2 linked regions of the Callithrix jacchus genome follow. The protein of the gene in region 1 purifies or fractionates together with the protein of each later gene. This does not show direct contact. Links are inferred from orthologs where the notes say so. Each region holds a gene or a part of one and is shown in the gene's direction. Other genes may lie near its edges.

Region 1 (8,266 bases):
TTGTGGAGGTCACATTTAATAGACTGGAAAACTGAGTTGGGCTGCTTAGGTCCATGTTCCTGCCACCATATCCTGCTTTCTGAAGTAGTTCTGGTTAATGGCAATTCCACAGCAAGATATACCATAGTTTATTTGGTTTATGTGCTGGGTGAACAGACAGGGAGAATATGGAATGGTTCTTGAAAGAGCAAGGACTTGCAATGTTTAGAAGCCACAGTTTCTAGAAGCAAAGGATATGGTTGTATCTAAAGAGCTGAGAAAACTTGTCTTGACTTTTTTTTTCTTCCTGTGTGGACTGCCAAGAGCTTGTTTGATTTTAAGTGCTTTTTATGCTTGCCTGTTACTCAGGTCTCATCATATTGCAACAGCTTTTAAGAAAACTATGCCTCTTCTTTTAAACTGGATTACAGAAAACTGTACTGTAATGTTAAATGCTCAAAATTAGAGTCAGAAAATTCGATTGGATTTTTCTTCCCCTTCACAGTCATCCTCCAGCCCCTTGCACGGGATGGTGCCTTTGACCCTTATGAGTCAGACTTTTACACAGTTTGATTAGCTGCCAAGGATTGAAACTCCATCGCCAGATAAGTTGGCTAAATTTTTGGGGAAAAAACTCAGCTCAATGAACGGTTTTTGAAAAGCTGCTAGAGTTTATTATATAGATATTTATTTTATAACACTGAGTTTTTATTACTTTTTTGTTTTGAGGCAGAGTCTCCCTCTGTTGTGCAGGCTAGAGTACAGTGGTGCTGATCTTGGCTCACTGCAACCTCCACCTTCCAAGTTCAAGTGATTCTCATGCCCCAGACTCCTGAGTAGTTGGGGTTACATGTGCCTGCCACCATGGCTGGTGAATTTTTTATTTTTAGTAGAGACAGGGTTTCAACATGTCAGCCAGGCTGGTCTTGAACTCTTGACTTTAGGTGATCTGCCCACCTCAGCCTCCCAAAGTGTTAGGATTACAGGCGTGAGCCACTGTGCCTGAACAATAGCACTGAATTTGATTAGTGCATATAGCTTTTTACGGAGATTGTTTTTATATTTGCAATCTCTCTTGGGGTTTTGAACACAGCAGTTTTTTGCTACCTTTTAGGCCTGCCGAACTTGCCTATCGATATGAAGGGTATTTTTGAGGAGATGGGTACCAAGTAGAACATTCGAAGTGTTAAGTGTCCAGCTCAACTGAAGGGTATTTGTGGGGAGATGTAGAACATTTGAAGCGTTAAGTATCCAGCTCAACATGTTATTTCCCATTTTACCAACCTGGTCTTTCTCGTAATACACCACAGTTTTGATTTCAGTCCATGGTTTAGTTGAGAGCCCAGTGAATTTTAAAACAAATGTTAAATTATATTTAACTTGGAGATTTAATTTTTATCCAGTTAAGTTTTGTGCACTAAGTATGTGCTAAGTATCATGAAATAGAGCTGAAAACTGAAGAATAGTATGTGATTTTTTACCTAGTTTTAAATTGGTTTTGACAAACCCTGTGCATGGCGGAGAATTAAGTGCTAGGTTGAGTCATATAGAATATAAATACCAGAGGAATTAGATCTGGGAAATATAAGAATCTTTAGAGAAGATGGACAGAGGCAGGAGAACTCAAACACTGTCTTAAAGGATGAGAAGATATTTTGTGCGGTGAAGATGATGGGGCTGGGATATTGGATGGCAAGTTAGAAGCACCTTCATAATGAGAAAAAAAAAAGTCTCTGATTTTTAAAGAGAATCAGAAATATATGTACCAGTGTTTATTTTTCGGCTTATCTAAACCTCTTCTTTCCCACCAATACAGTAACTCTCACTTAAAGACATGGTTGACCGTAGGCAGGACAGCTGAACACTGGCCTCCTCTTAAAATGCAGTTAGTTTTTGGCAGAGGGGAGAGCAGCTTTAGTGCAAATCTGCCAAATTTCCCTGGCCTCAGCATCTTGGAAAATACCAGTTTTTCAATAGTTTGTTCTGAAACTCAAAGGTTTGAGTGCTGCTCAGCTGAGGAGTTTGTTTTTAAGGATGCCCACTCTAGAAATGCCTTTTTGCTCTTTAATTTTGCTAAGTGATTGCTGAAAAACACAAATTTCTGGTTAACCTCTCTATGGAGGATAGTTGTACATGTCTTATTCTTACTGTGCCTATTATATGTCTAGATTTTCTTTTCAAATAGATTGTGAACCTCAATTTAAGCTGAAGTGAGGAACGGTTTGATAGTATCTGTAAAACGTTTCCCTTGAATTCCAAGGTGGATGGAAAGATTTTTCCCCATAATTATTGCAGAGTGATACATTTGGGGTTTGTTTTCTGCCTAGATTTATTTACATGAAGGTTTTCTTGGCAAAATGTTCTTTGAGGTTAAAAAAAGGTGCTGTTTTCTGAAAGCAGTAAGTTCTTCAGTATTTTGTGTTACTTAACGATTTGAATGGGAAAGTTTGGTTCTAATAAAAATTTCCTCTTCCTTTTGCAAATGTTGATGTTTTTCAAGTCTTCCTAAAGGAAAAGGGAGCCTGGGTGGGTTTTTGTTTTATATTAGTTATCTAGAGCTCCCCTCCTCTTCCCTTCCGCTTTGTGCTCTTTCCCCACCATTGTTTTATGAGCCTTTGAACCAGATCTGTCTATGCCAGAGATTGTTGCTTGCAAATAGACCAAAATCAGATTGAGTGGATGTACAAGCAATTGGTTACTCTGGTATACTGGATGCCTCTAAGAGGGGCCAGGGATCTTGGAAAGGGAGGAAACCTTTTCATTCTATAGTTTGTACTGCTCAGACTTTTTTTTAAAAAAACTAAATGCACGTAATAGTACATGCAGAGTCAAATTTTTATTTGACTTTGTGTGTGGCAAAGGAAAGAGAAGAAAGGTCTGCAGTACACAGTGTATAGGCTTTAAAGGAACTTGATTTTGAAAAGTGCCGACTGCAAATCTTACTGGTTTTTGTGTTATTTAGAAAAATATTTAAAGACCGTTATAGATCCCTGACCTCTGCACTGTTCTTATCAGTGTTTTCAAACTTTTCTGTACTTGCTGCACTTGTAGATAGGCTTTGTTTTGTGGTCCTAATTGAAAGGTGTGCCAAATGTGCACTTCCTTTAGCCACCGCATTCACAACTGCAGAATTTTCTTCTGCTTAGCTTATTTTCTTTCTTCTTTCTCCCTGCAGCCTGGAGCGTTGTTAAGCGTCGCATTGCCAAAGTGAGAGCCGCTGGAGAACTCATAATCCCAGCAGCGCCTCTTCTACTCCCCGAGTACCCGAGTGACCAGAGTGAGAGAAGCTCTGAAGGAGGGCACGCAGCTTGAAGGACGGTGGACAGATGTGACCGGGAGCCTGTGTTAAGGTAGCTGAGTCAGCTTTACCCAGGAGCTCTCAAAGCGGCGTTGCCAGAACCAGCAGTGCAGCCACATCAACAAATCACTTATTTTAAAACTCTTTGGCAGAGATCAAATCCACAGGGTAAATTCTTTGCCACAAATGATTATTATTATTTTTTTAATATGAATTCAATATGAGAAAGCTAGGACTGCCCTCATAGTTCTTAGTTCTGCCATTGCTTTCATAGTAGGCTTTGTGGGGTGGATCTGCACAGCTATTCTTTACATTTGGCCGAGTTTTTCATATAAACATTGCCAATGTTTCCCTACCTGTAAAATGCCTCTGCCATCCTTTTCACCTTACAGGGCCACCACATTAATTTTTTTCTTTTAAAATAGACCTTGTTTCTTTTAGAACAGTTTTAGGTTCACAGCAAAATTGAACAGAAAGTAGAGAGAGTTCTCATCTATCTCCCCAACACCTCCCCTACTGTCAATATCCCACACCAGAGTAGTACATTTACTACAATCAATGAACCTACATTGACACATCATTATCACCCAAAGGCAATAGTTTACATTAGGCTCAGTCTTGGTGTTGTACATTCTGTGGGTTTGGACAAATGAATAATGACATGCATCTGCCATTATAGTATTCTACAGAGTAGTTTCAGCACCCTAAATATCTCTGTGCTCTACCTATTCATTTCCTGTTTCCACTAGCCCTTGGCAATCACACTGGGCTTTTTACTGTGTCCATACATTTACCTTTTCCAGAACTACATTTTAATAATGTATTTCCTGTGGAGTGTTTTAAAAGCATAAAGAAGACTTGAGCCAGGCATGGTGGCTCATGCCTGTAATCCCAGTGCTTTGGAAGGCCAAAGACGAAGGATTGCTTGAGCCCAGGAGTTTGAGACCAACCTGGAAAACATAGTGAAACCCCATCTCTTAAAAAAAAAAAATTAGCCAGGCGTATTGGCGGGTGCCTTTATCTTCAGCTACTTCAGAGGCTGAGGCACATGGATTACTTGAACCTGGGAAGTTGAGGCTTCAGTGAGCTGTGATCGCACCACTGCAGCCCAGACTGGGCAACAGAACAAGACCTTGTCTCAAAAAAAAAAAAAGAAGTCTTGTTGTCCAGGGTGAAATACTATTAAGGGTGTGATAAGTTATGGGAGTAATAGGAATACCTACTTGGAATAGAGTCAGTAAGAAGTTTCTGTGAGGGAGGTCTGAAGTGCGAAATGTTGATGTGTGTGTCTTTCTGAATTTAGTGTTTAGGTTGCTTAGATATGGTTTGAACCGTGTATATGGAGACAGAAGCAAGGAACTCAGGATTAAATTCTGCCAGGATTGATCTATGCAGCCTTCTTAGATTTAATACTTTTGAGGAAAGTCTCTGATATAGCTGTTAGCTGCATTCTTTTCAAACGAGAGTCTAATGTATTATTATAAAACAGTCTTATTGTTGTTACTATTTTGAGGCAGGGTCTCACTCTGTTGCATAGGCTGGAGAGCTGTGATGCAATCATGGCACACTGCAGCCTCAAACTCATGGACTCAAGGGATCCTCCTGCCTCAGCCTCCCAAGTACCTAGGACTATAGATGCACACCACCACACCTGATGGTGGTGTTTATTTTTTTTTAGAGCCAGGGTCTCACTATGTTGCCCAGGCTGGTGTTGAACTCCTGGCCTCAAGTGATCCTCCTGCCTTAGCCCCCCATTGCCTTATATTTTATGTGAAAGTTAATTTTGATTATTTTATGTTAGATAATACAAAACAGTATAAAGCATAGCCATATCTAAAGATAAAAGTTCTTCCTTTTCCTCTTTCACCTTTGGCTAAAATCTTGGAATACAAACTTTCCTGTTTACAAACGTTTTCATATGCAGATGTTTTTATATACAAACAAAATATGCATATTAATCATGTTAAAAATTGGTGGAACATGACCACACATCCTATTTCACAACTTGCTTTTTAGCTTGACTTGGTATATTACAGATATTTTTCCTTTTAAGCGGAATTTAATGTCAGGGTGAGTAATCCCTGCCTAGTTTCCCTTCTATGGCTGTAACGTAATAATCACCAGTCCTCAAGTGAGAGGTTAGTCCATAATTTAAAGGGGGTAGGCGGGAGACCTTTCACATTAGGGACAAAACTAAGGCCATGACTATTGACATTGGACTTTTGGTCACTAAGGATGTTTTTATTTTCTAAGGCAGACGATGCACTGCTTGGGGCTGTTGCCAAGGCATCAGTTGTGTCAAATTTTTGTTTTTTGGAGGCTGTGTTAATATATTAGCATAGTTGTTAGTTCTGGCTACCATCCTGTGAGCATTTTGAGATACTTTTATGCCCATTTAAGGTGGTATGAGGTTGAATTTGTTTTAAGAGGAAGTAATGAATAACAGAGATGGAATTAAGAGACAGACTTTATTTTGTGTATATATTTATTTGAGGGAGAAGGAGATGATGGCTGTAGTTAATTGCTACCCCTGTGATTCTTAATTATGAAACAGGGTTAAAAGTGTTCAGCTCGGTAGTTTCCTAACGTGGTTAACGGTAAGAGTCACTAGAGAAGTTTTCAGGTATCTGGCGTTGGCAATGAATATTTGTATTTTTGTTATTTTTTTAAAGCATTTGTTTTTAGAAAGGTAGTATTATTAGTGCATAGAAGATTTAAAAGGCACAAAAGAGCGTAGAGTGAAAATTGAGTCTCCCTCCTCTGTCTCCCAAGTACCCAGTGACCCTTCTAGAAACAACTACTGTTACCGTTTTCTTGTGTATTCTTCCAGATATTTCAGAGTATATAATATACATGCATATAACCTATATTACAATTTTTCTTTTTTTTTTTACACTCGTGGTAGCAGTATCCACAGTTTTGTAACTTTTTTCATTGAAATAATGTTTCTTGGAAGTTCTTCCATCGTAACACTGCATTCATTTTTAGTAGATACTTGGTATTCCATTGTAGAGATGTGCTATCATGTATTTAACGATATTGATGGGCATGTAGATCATTTCCAGTTTTTATTATCATGAACAAAGCTATGGGGAATAACCTTGTGTATATATCATTTCAAACATGTGTGAGTGTATCTCTAGGATCCATTTCTAGTAGAATTGCTAGGTCTAAGGTTACATACATTTTAATTTTGGTAGAAATTTTATTGCCAAATTGATCTGTTTATAGACCTTAACAAATTTTAGATTTAACAGCAATGAGTGAGAACACTGATTTCTCCTGCCCTTGCCTGTCAAATATGACTGCCAAACTGATTATTTTATTTCTTAGCCAAAGTAATAGGTAAAAAATGGCAGTTTAATGTGCTTTCATTTGCATTTTTCATAGTTGGTTTGAGATTGAGCATTTTTTCGTAAGTTTAAAAGCCACTTTTATTTCTAGTTATCTTCTTTCTATGTTTGTGTTCTTTGTCTATTTTGCTATTGGGTTATGATTTTTATTATCAAAATATCACATCAAAATTATCGGTTCCCCCTTTTTTATCCTGTGATATGTGCTATTTATATTTTCCTCAGTTGGCCATTTGTGTAGAAATAATTATTATTTTGTCGTGCAGGTTATTAAAAATGTTGTATAGTTAAGATTGCCAATTTATTCACTCAAAGATTGTTTATTAAATGCCTCTTGTGTATGAGAACTTGTTCTAGGGACCAGGCTGTAAAATAGTTTAAACAAAACAAAACAGACCCCAGTTCTTGCTCCACAGCAGAACTTATATTCTTACATTGGAGGAAATGGTCAATATCATAGTATCATAGTTAAAAGACCTTTTTCCGTTTTTAGATTTAAAAACTTACTATCTTCTGGTTCATTCTAGTGTCATGTGGGCTTTTTTTTTAGATTTAAGCCTTTGATCCATCTGAAATTTTAGGTATGAGTTCAACTTAATTCTTCTCTAGATGCTCTGTTAATTAGGTTGAATTGCTGTAACCGAAGGACTGAAATATGCTATGGTTCAAAGAACACAAAAGTTTCTTGCAGGCCAAGAAACAGTATATTATATAGTATTACACTACAGTAATTGCCTCCTTGCCTTTCTTTATGAGTCCATCAACAAAGTGTTCAGACCTACAGATTGGTCTTGCATTATCTTTGTCTTGTAAGTCTCTTAAAACTGGGGTTTCCGCCTCCAGCCCATTCTTTCCCTTATAGTTTCTCTGTTGAAGAACCTGTTTTTTTTTCTTTGCTTAACAGTCCCAGTGTAAGCAAAACAGATCAGCGAAACAGCCCATATCCACTGATCAGTCAGAGGCTTGTGTTCCTTCTGTCTTGTGGCTCTAGTAATTGTTGCTGTGATTATCTGCATGGCCATATCTGAGTTGCTGCCACAGCTGGGTTCCCACCATGGGAAGGGCAAAGGAGAAAGTCCAGGGCTAGTGATCAGAAACTACAGACATCACTACAGATGAGAACTATAGTGATGAGAACTTCATTATAGGGGTATGTCTAGCTGCATTGGAGACTGAAAAGTGAAGTCTGTGTGGGCCGCCTTGCACCCAAGAAGAAGAAAAGAAGGAATTTTAGTGGAAAAGGAGCAGTCTCTGCCATATTGGCTAGTCCTTCCAATTTTACTGAACAGTCCCAACTTTTCTCCTTTGGTTTCTTTTATACTGTTATTTCCTATATAGATTTTGGTCTATTTCTGGGTTAACCATTTAGTTTCATTAATCTGTCTGCCTACTGATACAGCAGAATTTCATTGTTAGAACTTTTGAGGCTTAGTTTTTTTTTTCTTTTTCATAGGGGTAAGTCTCCCCATTTTAAGTCCTATTTCACAGAATTTTAATACGTGTGTGTGTGTGTGTGTGTGTGTGTTTAAAATATGAACTTTAAAAGAACCATATCTAGTTACCACCCTCTCCCCTCCATGAAGAAAACATATTATTATTGGGATTTTGTTAAATGTAAATACTTCATTAGTGAAGG
Region 2 (8,280 bases), on another chromosome or scaffold:
CTTGTGGGGGAAGTAGTATTTGTTAGGATTTTAGGGGACTAGGTGTCCTATTTTAGTCAAAAGATACTGTCCTGAAAGGATAGCAGTGATGATGGAGTAACTGGAGACCTGGAAGGCTGATACTGAGCCCCTGGACCTTTCTGAGGTTGTGGTTCATTTGTTCTATTCATCCTCTAAATGCTGGAAAAAGGAATTGTTCTGTGGCCCAGCTATACTTTTGAGTTGAGTCTGCCTTCTGTTTTACTAACACCCGGATCCACAGTGTGAAAATGCAAGAAAACCTTCCCTCAGTTATCTGAGTGACAGCATTTGGCATTGTGAGGGAACCCGGTTGACTTTGCTCCTCCTGAAGCTCAGGAGGCTGGTTGCTGGGCGGGTGGCCAGCGGGCCCCTTTCTTTCTGAAAGAACCATGGGTTCTGTCTCACAGAGAGGCTGCAGGGAGCCGGCCTGCCCATGGAGAGTGCCATCCTGCATGGGAAGCTGGGTGAGCACGAGAAGGCGCTGCATATCCTGGTGCATGAGCTGCGGGACTTTGCAGCGGCCGAGGACTACTGCCTGTGGTGCTCTGAGGGCCAGGACCCGCCCCACCGCCAGCGCCTCTTCCACACGCTGCTGGCTATCTACCTGCGTGCCGGCCCCGCCTCCAACGAGCTGGCAGTGGCCGCCATGGACCTGCTGAACCGCCATGCCACCGAATTCGACGCAGCCCAGGTGCTGCAGATGCTGCCCGACACCTGGTCAGTGCAGCTCCTCTGCCCATTCCTGACAGGGGCCATGAGGGGCAGCGTCCATGCCAGGAGGACCATGCAGGTGGCTCTCGGCCTGGCCAAGTCAGAAAACTTAATTTACACCTGTGATAAGGTGAGTACCGATCCTCACGAGCTGCTTCCTGGCCAGTCAACGTCGTATGGAAGGTAGATTTTACTGATGGAAAATAGTCTTTGTCAGTTTTTCTTTTTTTCTGTCTCTGTGACTATAACACATCAATATCTGATCCTACTCATAGAAACTGAGGTCTGTGTGAGCAGAGGCAAAGACTGGGCTGGTAGGTGTAACATTGGTGTAGTTTTTCTCCCCTTGTGGACGCTGGTTATTAAGAGAATCTGTGGGAGAGCTGTGGGGAGGAGAGCAGCAGCAGAATATCAGGCGCTTACCCAGCACATGCCGTGTGCCAGGCACTGACCTAGCATTTTATGTCATGCTAGCTTTTTGTTATCATGACAGTTTTATGCAGTATCTGCTGTCAGCATCTCCATTTCACAGGAGAGGAAACTGAGGCAGAGAGCAGTCACATGCTCAGGAAATGGGCACATTCAGAGCTGCCTCCCTGACCAGTTCAGAACCCCACATTCTTGGTCTTCATGCTATATTCCCCTTCTGGAGACTTCTTTCTTGTAGGCCTGAATTCCACATGGCTGGCAGTCTTTTTTCCAGAGTGGGAATCTGACATGTTCCCCTCACACTTAGAAGCCTTTGCTGATGCCCCTGGCCTGGAAGATGTAGCCCATCTCTCCCCACCTCTGCTTTCCAGCACATATCCTGGCTTTAGCAGAACTTTGCAGATGTGACTTGGTATTTCATACTTAGTTGCTTTTGTAAATGCTGTACCCACTGTCTGGGATATTCTTAGCTTTTTCTTTGGGCCCAGCAAATGCCCAGTCAGAACTTAGCCCAAGTATTTTTTCCCTTGTGAAGCCATCTCAGACCTCTTAAGTAATCACCTTCCCTTTCACCCACCTTCTACTTAGTGTTTGCATTCACAGGTGTCACCCTGTACTATTGGAGTTTGGGTTCTTCGAGGACAGGGAACTTCATTTCTTTATCTCAGTGTCCGTAGGCTAAGCCTGGCATGTTGAAGGCTTCTAGTCCATGTTTGTGGAATGACTGATGCAACTACGGAGTGCAGGACGAATCACTAAGCTGCTGCTTGATCCTGCCAATAGACCAACCTGCCTGGGTTGACACAGGTGAATTGTGTAGAAAAACTTCATAACTTTCAGAACTCAAGTCCTAGTTATCAGACAGGAACCCATGGCATTAAGACTCAGTTTCACCAGTTACATCTAAGGAAACAAAAGGGTGTCTCCCAGGACCAGCGAGGAATATGCCACTCATTAGCTCTATAACTTTGACTACATCCCTTATTTGTTTGCAAATGAGAGAACCCTGAAATTCAACTATTGTATGGTCCCATTCAGCATTAACATTCATGCCTTTCTGATAGGCCGGGCTTGAGATGATCAGAGCCCAGAGAATGTTGGAGAGAGGATCTTGGGTAGAAATGCCTCAGCCAGACAAGCAGCAATTACTTTTGTGAAATAAGAAAAGCATTTATGTAGCTTTTTTACTTCTCCAGTTACTAAGGATGGTTTTATTTACACCTTTAGTATTTTGTTTCAAGAAGTTGATACTTAAGAAAGTCTCATAATAATAACCCATGGAGTAACGCATGTCAACTCTTCAAAACTAGGACATAGCCACTTTAAGTATACCTAACACATGACACCATTCTCAGTCTCGGTTTCTTTTTGCAGATGAAGTTGAAAGGAAGCTCAATTCGGCTCTCAGACAAAAAGCTTTGTCAGATATGCCAAAATCCCTTTTGTGAGCCTGTGTTTGTTAGATACCCAAATGGTGGTCTTGTGCATACCCACTGTGCTGCCAGCAGACACACGAACCCCAGCTCATCCAGCCCTGGCACTCGGACTTGAAAAGCTTGGCCCGAGGACATGAGGGGAACTCCGAGTTCTTTCTGAGCCTGCTGGACGTGAAGAGCAGACAACCATCATGCTCTGTGTCAGCTAGGATGAAGGGAGACATCTGGGTGCCAGGGAGCCTTCCGTCCACACACAACAAGGACTCCTCACTGCTGACCAGGCTCTATGAATGTTCATGGAAAACCTTTAAAAATCCCAAAAATAGAGACATGCAAGAGTTCACCTCTCCAGGCACTTAGTAATCCAAGACAAAGGTGTACATTGAAAAAAAAGGGAGTCTTCCTCATGCAGTCAGACCCAGGTGGGGGATTCCCCCACCATCCCCACACTCCGACCTTTAGACTCATGTTTGCACTGGAAATGTGGCTTCGGCATGACTGGAGAGGAAGCCCTCTCTTGCCTGGTGGGCAGAGCCTCATGGGGGGCAGCCCTGCCCTCACTGCAGAGACACGTTCTCCATCCAGGCCGCTCACTCGTGAGCCCGTTTCCCAGGGTTACCTCGTGGGCTCTGCCTTTGCCCTAAGAAACGGCTGACCCTGGAGAAGTACCTTTGTTCCTTCTTACTTCCTCTCCAGCTCTCAGCTCCCAAAAGATTCTGCCTTGTGTACCCAAGACTCACTCTTGGGTGAACTCATGTCTCTGGCTTCCTAGCAAGTGAAGATCTGTTGAGAAACTGAGAAAGCTTCAAGAGAGAAGCTGCTCTCCCCGCCTTGAAGAAGCCGCGGACACGGGACAGCCGTGGCGGGCACGGGACAGCCGTGGCAGGCAAGGGCCCAGCTGTGTGCCCCTTTCCTGCCACAGCATCTGCTGATTTGAAACTCCATGATGAACATGTTGAACTAAACATTTTTATTTAAATTTGTATCATGTTCATAGTTGCTCTCTTGTTGAGGGAGTCATCTGTCCTGTTTGTTAGGCATATTTTTCCTTGTTAAAATGTACCTCCTGTTGAATACTCGGGAAATTAAAAGGGAAGCATAGTCAGCACACACTGAGCATTCTTTTCTGGAAAGGCCGGTTTTAGCCTCACACCTTTAGCAGGACCAGCAGCGGGTGGAAGTGCCTGTGTGTGTGCTGGACAGGGGCATCACCTCCTGTATGGCACACCCTCCCGAGGACGTCCAGACAGGCTGTGTTACCTCCCAGCACTTTATGTGCCTGCTCTGAGGTGTCCTGAACACACAGCAGAGGCCTCTCATTCATCACAGGCCGGGTATTCCTTTTGTGTTTCTGTATAACATCGATGATGAGCTGAAGCTGTTGTCACTTCACTGCCCTCTTCAGAATTTCTTCATTGTGATGACTGATTTTATTCAATTAGGGACTAACAATAAAGGCAGTCTACCCACTACGATAATGCTTGGGAAACAAGGGTCAGCTTGTACGTATGACAAGAGAGGACCCTGATTATACCCTCTCTTCATCAGCCCAAGCTTTACTGAGGTGGGATGAAGAGCTCATTCTCTGTTCTTTAAAACGTGTTTCCTGTACTAATACTGGTCCATGTATTTTTTTTTTTTTTTTTGTCCTTTTGAGATTCTAAGTGGGCCAAGAAGCAAAAACATCCATGTGTTGTTTGGGAGGAATTGGCACCATTTTTTCTTACCTATGTTTCAGTTAACTAAAGAATAAATGATGAAGAAAATTCTCCTTGTAGCACAACTGTATGCTGTGTGAATTGGTGTGAGCTCAAAGCCTGGTCATGTGTTTTGCCTGTGGGTGACTCTGTTGTAGAATGGTCTTATTACTGCATATGGTATCATGACAACTTGTGAGTTTGAGTTTATATTTCTCAAAGAACAAGTTACCCATATATGCAACATTGCACTATTAAAAGCTCTATTTCTCTGTCCACAAAATGGGTGAAATCTTGAAAAAGCTTAGCAATTGCTCATTCCTAACACGGGGATACTAGTCTTTTTTTTTTTTGAGATGGAGTCTTACTCTGTCGCCAGGCTGGAATGCAATGGTGCAGTCTTGGCTCACTGCAACCTCTGCCTCCTGGGTTCAAGTGATTCTCCTGCCTCAGCCTCCCAAGTAGCTGGGACTACAGGGGCATGTCACCACACCCAGCTAATTTTTGTATTCTTAGTACACACGGGGTTTCACCATGTCGCCCAGAATAGTCTCCATCTCCTGACCTCATGATCCACCTGCCTCGGCCTCCCAAAGTGCTGGGATTACAGGTGTGAGCCACCGTGCCCGGTCAACACTAGTCTTTTTAATTTTTTCAGTGAAGATTGATCAATACTCTGAAATGTTCGTTGTTCTTTAGAATTGTGGGAATTAAATTTGAGCAGTTTTTCATCTCTACCAAATCCTTAACCGCAAGCAGCATTCTATGACAGTATGAAGAATTGTCTAATATGTTAAAACTGTACTTTAACCTTTCTGTCACTCCTCCAAGTTCCTTTCAGTTTGTATTTTTGAGAGAAATGTATGGTTCTTTCTTACAGGCCCGCTGATTTGTAACCGTGCCATTGAATAGAGCAATTAGACCCATCAGGCCATTTTCCCCTCATTAGGTTCCATGTAACCATTCTAGTTAAAACAGCATGAACTGAATCCAGTTTACACTCATATTCGATGGGCAATACTGTTTGGTTTTTGGAACTGTTTATCTGCTGTTGCCTATCAAGTATTATTGTAGGAGTGTCATGCGTGCCGCAATGCACTGGGCTGAGTTCCGCTGCGAAGCTCCCACTGATACGCGCTTACGTGTGCCTCTCACCTCCGGAGTGCAGGCAGGTGGCTGCAGGGTCCCAGCTCTGAATGGATGCCCGTGACACAACTGGGGCAGCCCTTGCTTTTTGCTTGCTCTCACACAGAAACCTTTGTCCATGCTACTTTATCCTTTGCCCCCTATTGGGTCCCAAATACACAAAATGTACAAATGTAAACTTGCTCATTCTTTTAGTTCTTTGTTCTTTCTGTAATTTTTTTAAAATAAAAATTACCTTGATGGAGTGATGGTTTCCACTCACGCCATACCTACTCTAAAGAGTTCTAGAATCTGTACCTTCTTGCTTTTCCCAGCACCTGTGGAGGACTTGAATTGGAAACCCCTTAAATTCTGCTACTGTTTTACCAATTTTGAACCTATCTGCTTCTGAATTTACCCAATGTATATTTTAGGGTGCTCCTTGAGATTGGTTGCCTTCAGATTAATTATGCACTGAGGAATTCAATCAAGGAAATTTCTGATTACTTCTTACCTACTTCACCTTTTAGCCAGATGCTCTTAAATAGGCCTGCTACTCTTGGATTTCTAACCCTGAGCATATTCAAAGAACATAACTCTTACAAAATCTTACCTTTTAATTTTACTTCATCCCCTACACTGTTGTTGATGGTGGGTCTTTCAGCCATCCTGGTGAATTTCAGAACACTTTCTCATGTTCTTTAATTCCAGGTGCTGTTCCATCCCTGAAGAAAGGAGGATGTTCACACACATGATAATCTCCTGAGGAGTTTTTTATTTTGTTTTGCTTTGTTTTTTATGAGATGGAAGTTTGCTCTTGTCGCCTGTACTGGAGTGCAGTGGTGTGATCTCAGCTCACTGCAACCTCCACCTCCTGGGTTCAAGTTATTCTCCTGCCTCAGCCTCCCATGTAGCCAGGACTACAGGTGCTCTGCCCACCACACCCACCTAATTTTTAAAAAAATATTTTTAGTAGAGATGGTTTCACCATGTTGGCCAGGCTGGTTTTGAACTCTTGACCTCAGGTGATCCACCTGCCTTGGCCTGTCAAAGTGCTGGGATTACAGGTGTGAGCCACCACACCCAGTCCCCCTGAGTATTCTGATCCTAATCTCAAATACGTGTGAATAGAGGTGAGGTGTCATGAACTCACACATGTTTCAAATTGAAGAAGCTGAGGTGCAGTGTGTCGAGGTGGTTTTCTTGGAGTTGGAGGAGGTGCCAAGCTAGAGCTGTGGTTCCTGCCTGTAGATTCTCCCACCTCGGGCTTCACCAACCCTGAACAGACAACCAGAATACAGCCCAGGGTGGACTCATATTGGCTTTTAGATTCCAACCATCGCATTGCTGTTTTTAGAAAATCATAAAGCAGCAGGTACATATTCTTTTCTCATTTTTACCTCGTTGTTATCTGAAGGCCCATTAGCATATTAGAGAATAAGAAAGAGGGAGACTTCAGACATATAAACCCAACCGGAAAGGAGGACGTGTAGATTCACACTAACTGCATCACAAGAATGTTACAACGGCAGATTAGGCTAAATGGTTGGGGGAGAGTGTGTACATTGATGTCCTAAATGTGTCTGTCAGTGAAGGCAAAGACTGGTGTCTGACTCAGTTAAATGGGCTGTGACTTGTGTTAGAGTAATTAGATATTAACTAACACCCCATTTGCGCTTAGCAGATCTGTCAACCTTAGCGTTTGAAATGAAAATGTACAAGAATCTAGACCATATGGACTAGAGGCCCTTTCACCTTCTCAGAAAAGCCAACTGGCTGGAGCAGCGTCCACGGCTTGTTAACAGTTGTTGGGAGATAAGCACTTGAATTAATGAAGCCCACTTTTCCTTAGCTTGCAACTGGGGCAGGGAAACAAATAGCTATCATTCAGCCTGCAGTCCAGAGTCGTAAATTAGTTAAATGAGATTACGTGGCATGTGGCAAGAAGGGCTTGGCAAGCAATGCGTGCCACTCCACCGGGCAAGCATGACTTGAGAAGTCAAATGTCAGGTGTCGGGAGTCTGGGCCTCTTGGGGCTGACACATCTGGCTGTGGTCCTTGGTGAGTCGGGTCACCCAGCCCTCCGTGCCTGTGTCAGTCCATTTTTGCATTGCTCTAAAAAACATTCGAGACTGGATTGTTTATAAAGAAGAGGTTTATTTGGCTCGTTGTTCTGCAGGCTGTACAGGAAGCATGTTGCTGGCATCTGCTTCTGGGGAGGCCGCAGGAAGTGTCTAGCCATGGTGGGAGGCCGGGGGGAGCAGGTGCATCACAGGGCAAGAGCGGGAGTGAGAGAGCAAGGAGGAGGTGCCAGGCTTCTTTTAACAGCCAGCTCTCACATGAACTAACAGAGCGAGAACTCACTCATTACTATGGAGAGGTAATTCATGAGGGATTCACCCCCAGGTTCCAATACCTCCCACTAGGCCCCTCTCCAAAACTGGAGGTTACATTTCAACATGAGATTTAAGGGCAACATGCATCCAAACCGTGTCAGCGGTATCGTCCGTAAGTGGGAGGTGGAGTTGGGCAGCATCTGAGTTCCCTTCTTGTGTTAACCTTCTGTTCCAAGGGAGGGAAGTCAGGGCAGTAGCAGTATGGTTTCAGCCTTCATTACCAAATGATGCCCTCTAGGACCCAGGATCTCGGGTGGCCCTTGAAAGCACCCAGCACAGGGCTCATGCACAGCATCCCACAGATGTTCCTCCATAGGTGTGTCTGAGCATGCCAGAATCTCATTGCATGATTCCTTGATTAGGAAAGTGACTCTAGCTCACTCCACCCCTCAATTCCCAGTTCCGACTGGAGTCAGGAGAGGAGTTGGTCTACACATACCCTTTTCAAGTGGTTTTCAGTTGCCC

Evidence for each region.
Region 2: the proteins of ACVR1 (region 1) and TGFBRAP1 purify together in Homo sapiens (co-immunoprecipitation; 3 studies listed by BioGRID and IntAct, counting the BioPlex papers as one, with this or other methods). This does not show direct contact. The link is inferred for Callithrix jacchus from reciprocal best matches to the Homo sapiens genes ACVR1 and TGFBRAP1.

The regions. Positions count from the first base shown.
Region 1 is NC_133507.1:72,100,915-72,109,180, forward strand, and holds the start of ACVR1 (activin receptor type-1), read left to right. Parts: upstream 1-3,152; 5' UTR 3,153-3,445; intron 3,446-8,266. UniProt on the Homo sapiens protein: Bone morphogenetic protein (BMP) type I receptor that is involved in a wide variety of biological processes, including bone, heart, cartilage, nervous, and reproductive system development and regulation.
Region 2 is NC_133515.1:15,339,536-15,347,815, reverse strand, and holds the end of TGFBRAP1 (transforming growth factor-beta receptor-associated protein 1), read left to right. Parts: intron 1-428; coding exon 429-862; intron 863-2,535; coding exon 2,536-2,712; 3' UTR 2,713-5,719; downstream 5,720-8,280. UniProt on the Homo sapiens protein: Plays a role in the TGF-beta/activin signaling pathway. It associates with inactive heteromeric TGF-beta and activin receptor complexes, mainly through the type II receptor, and is released upon activation of signaling.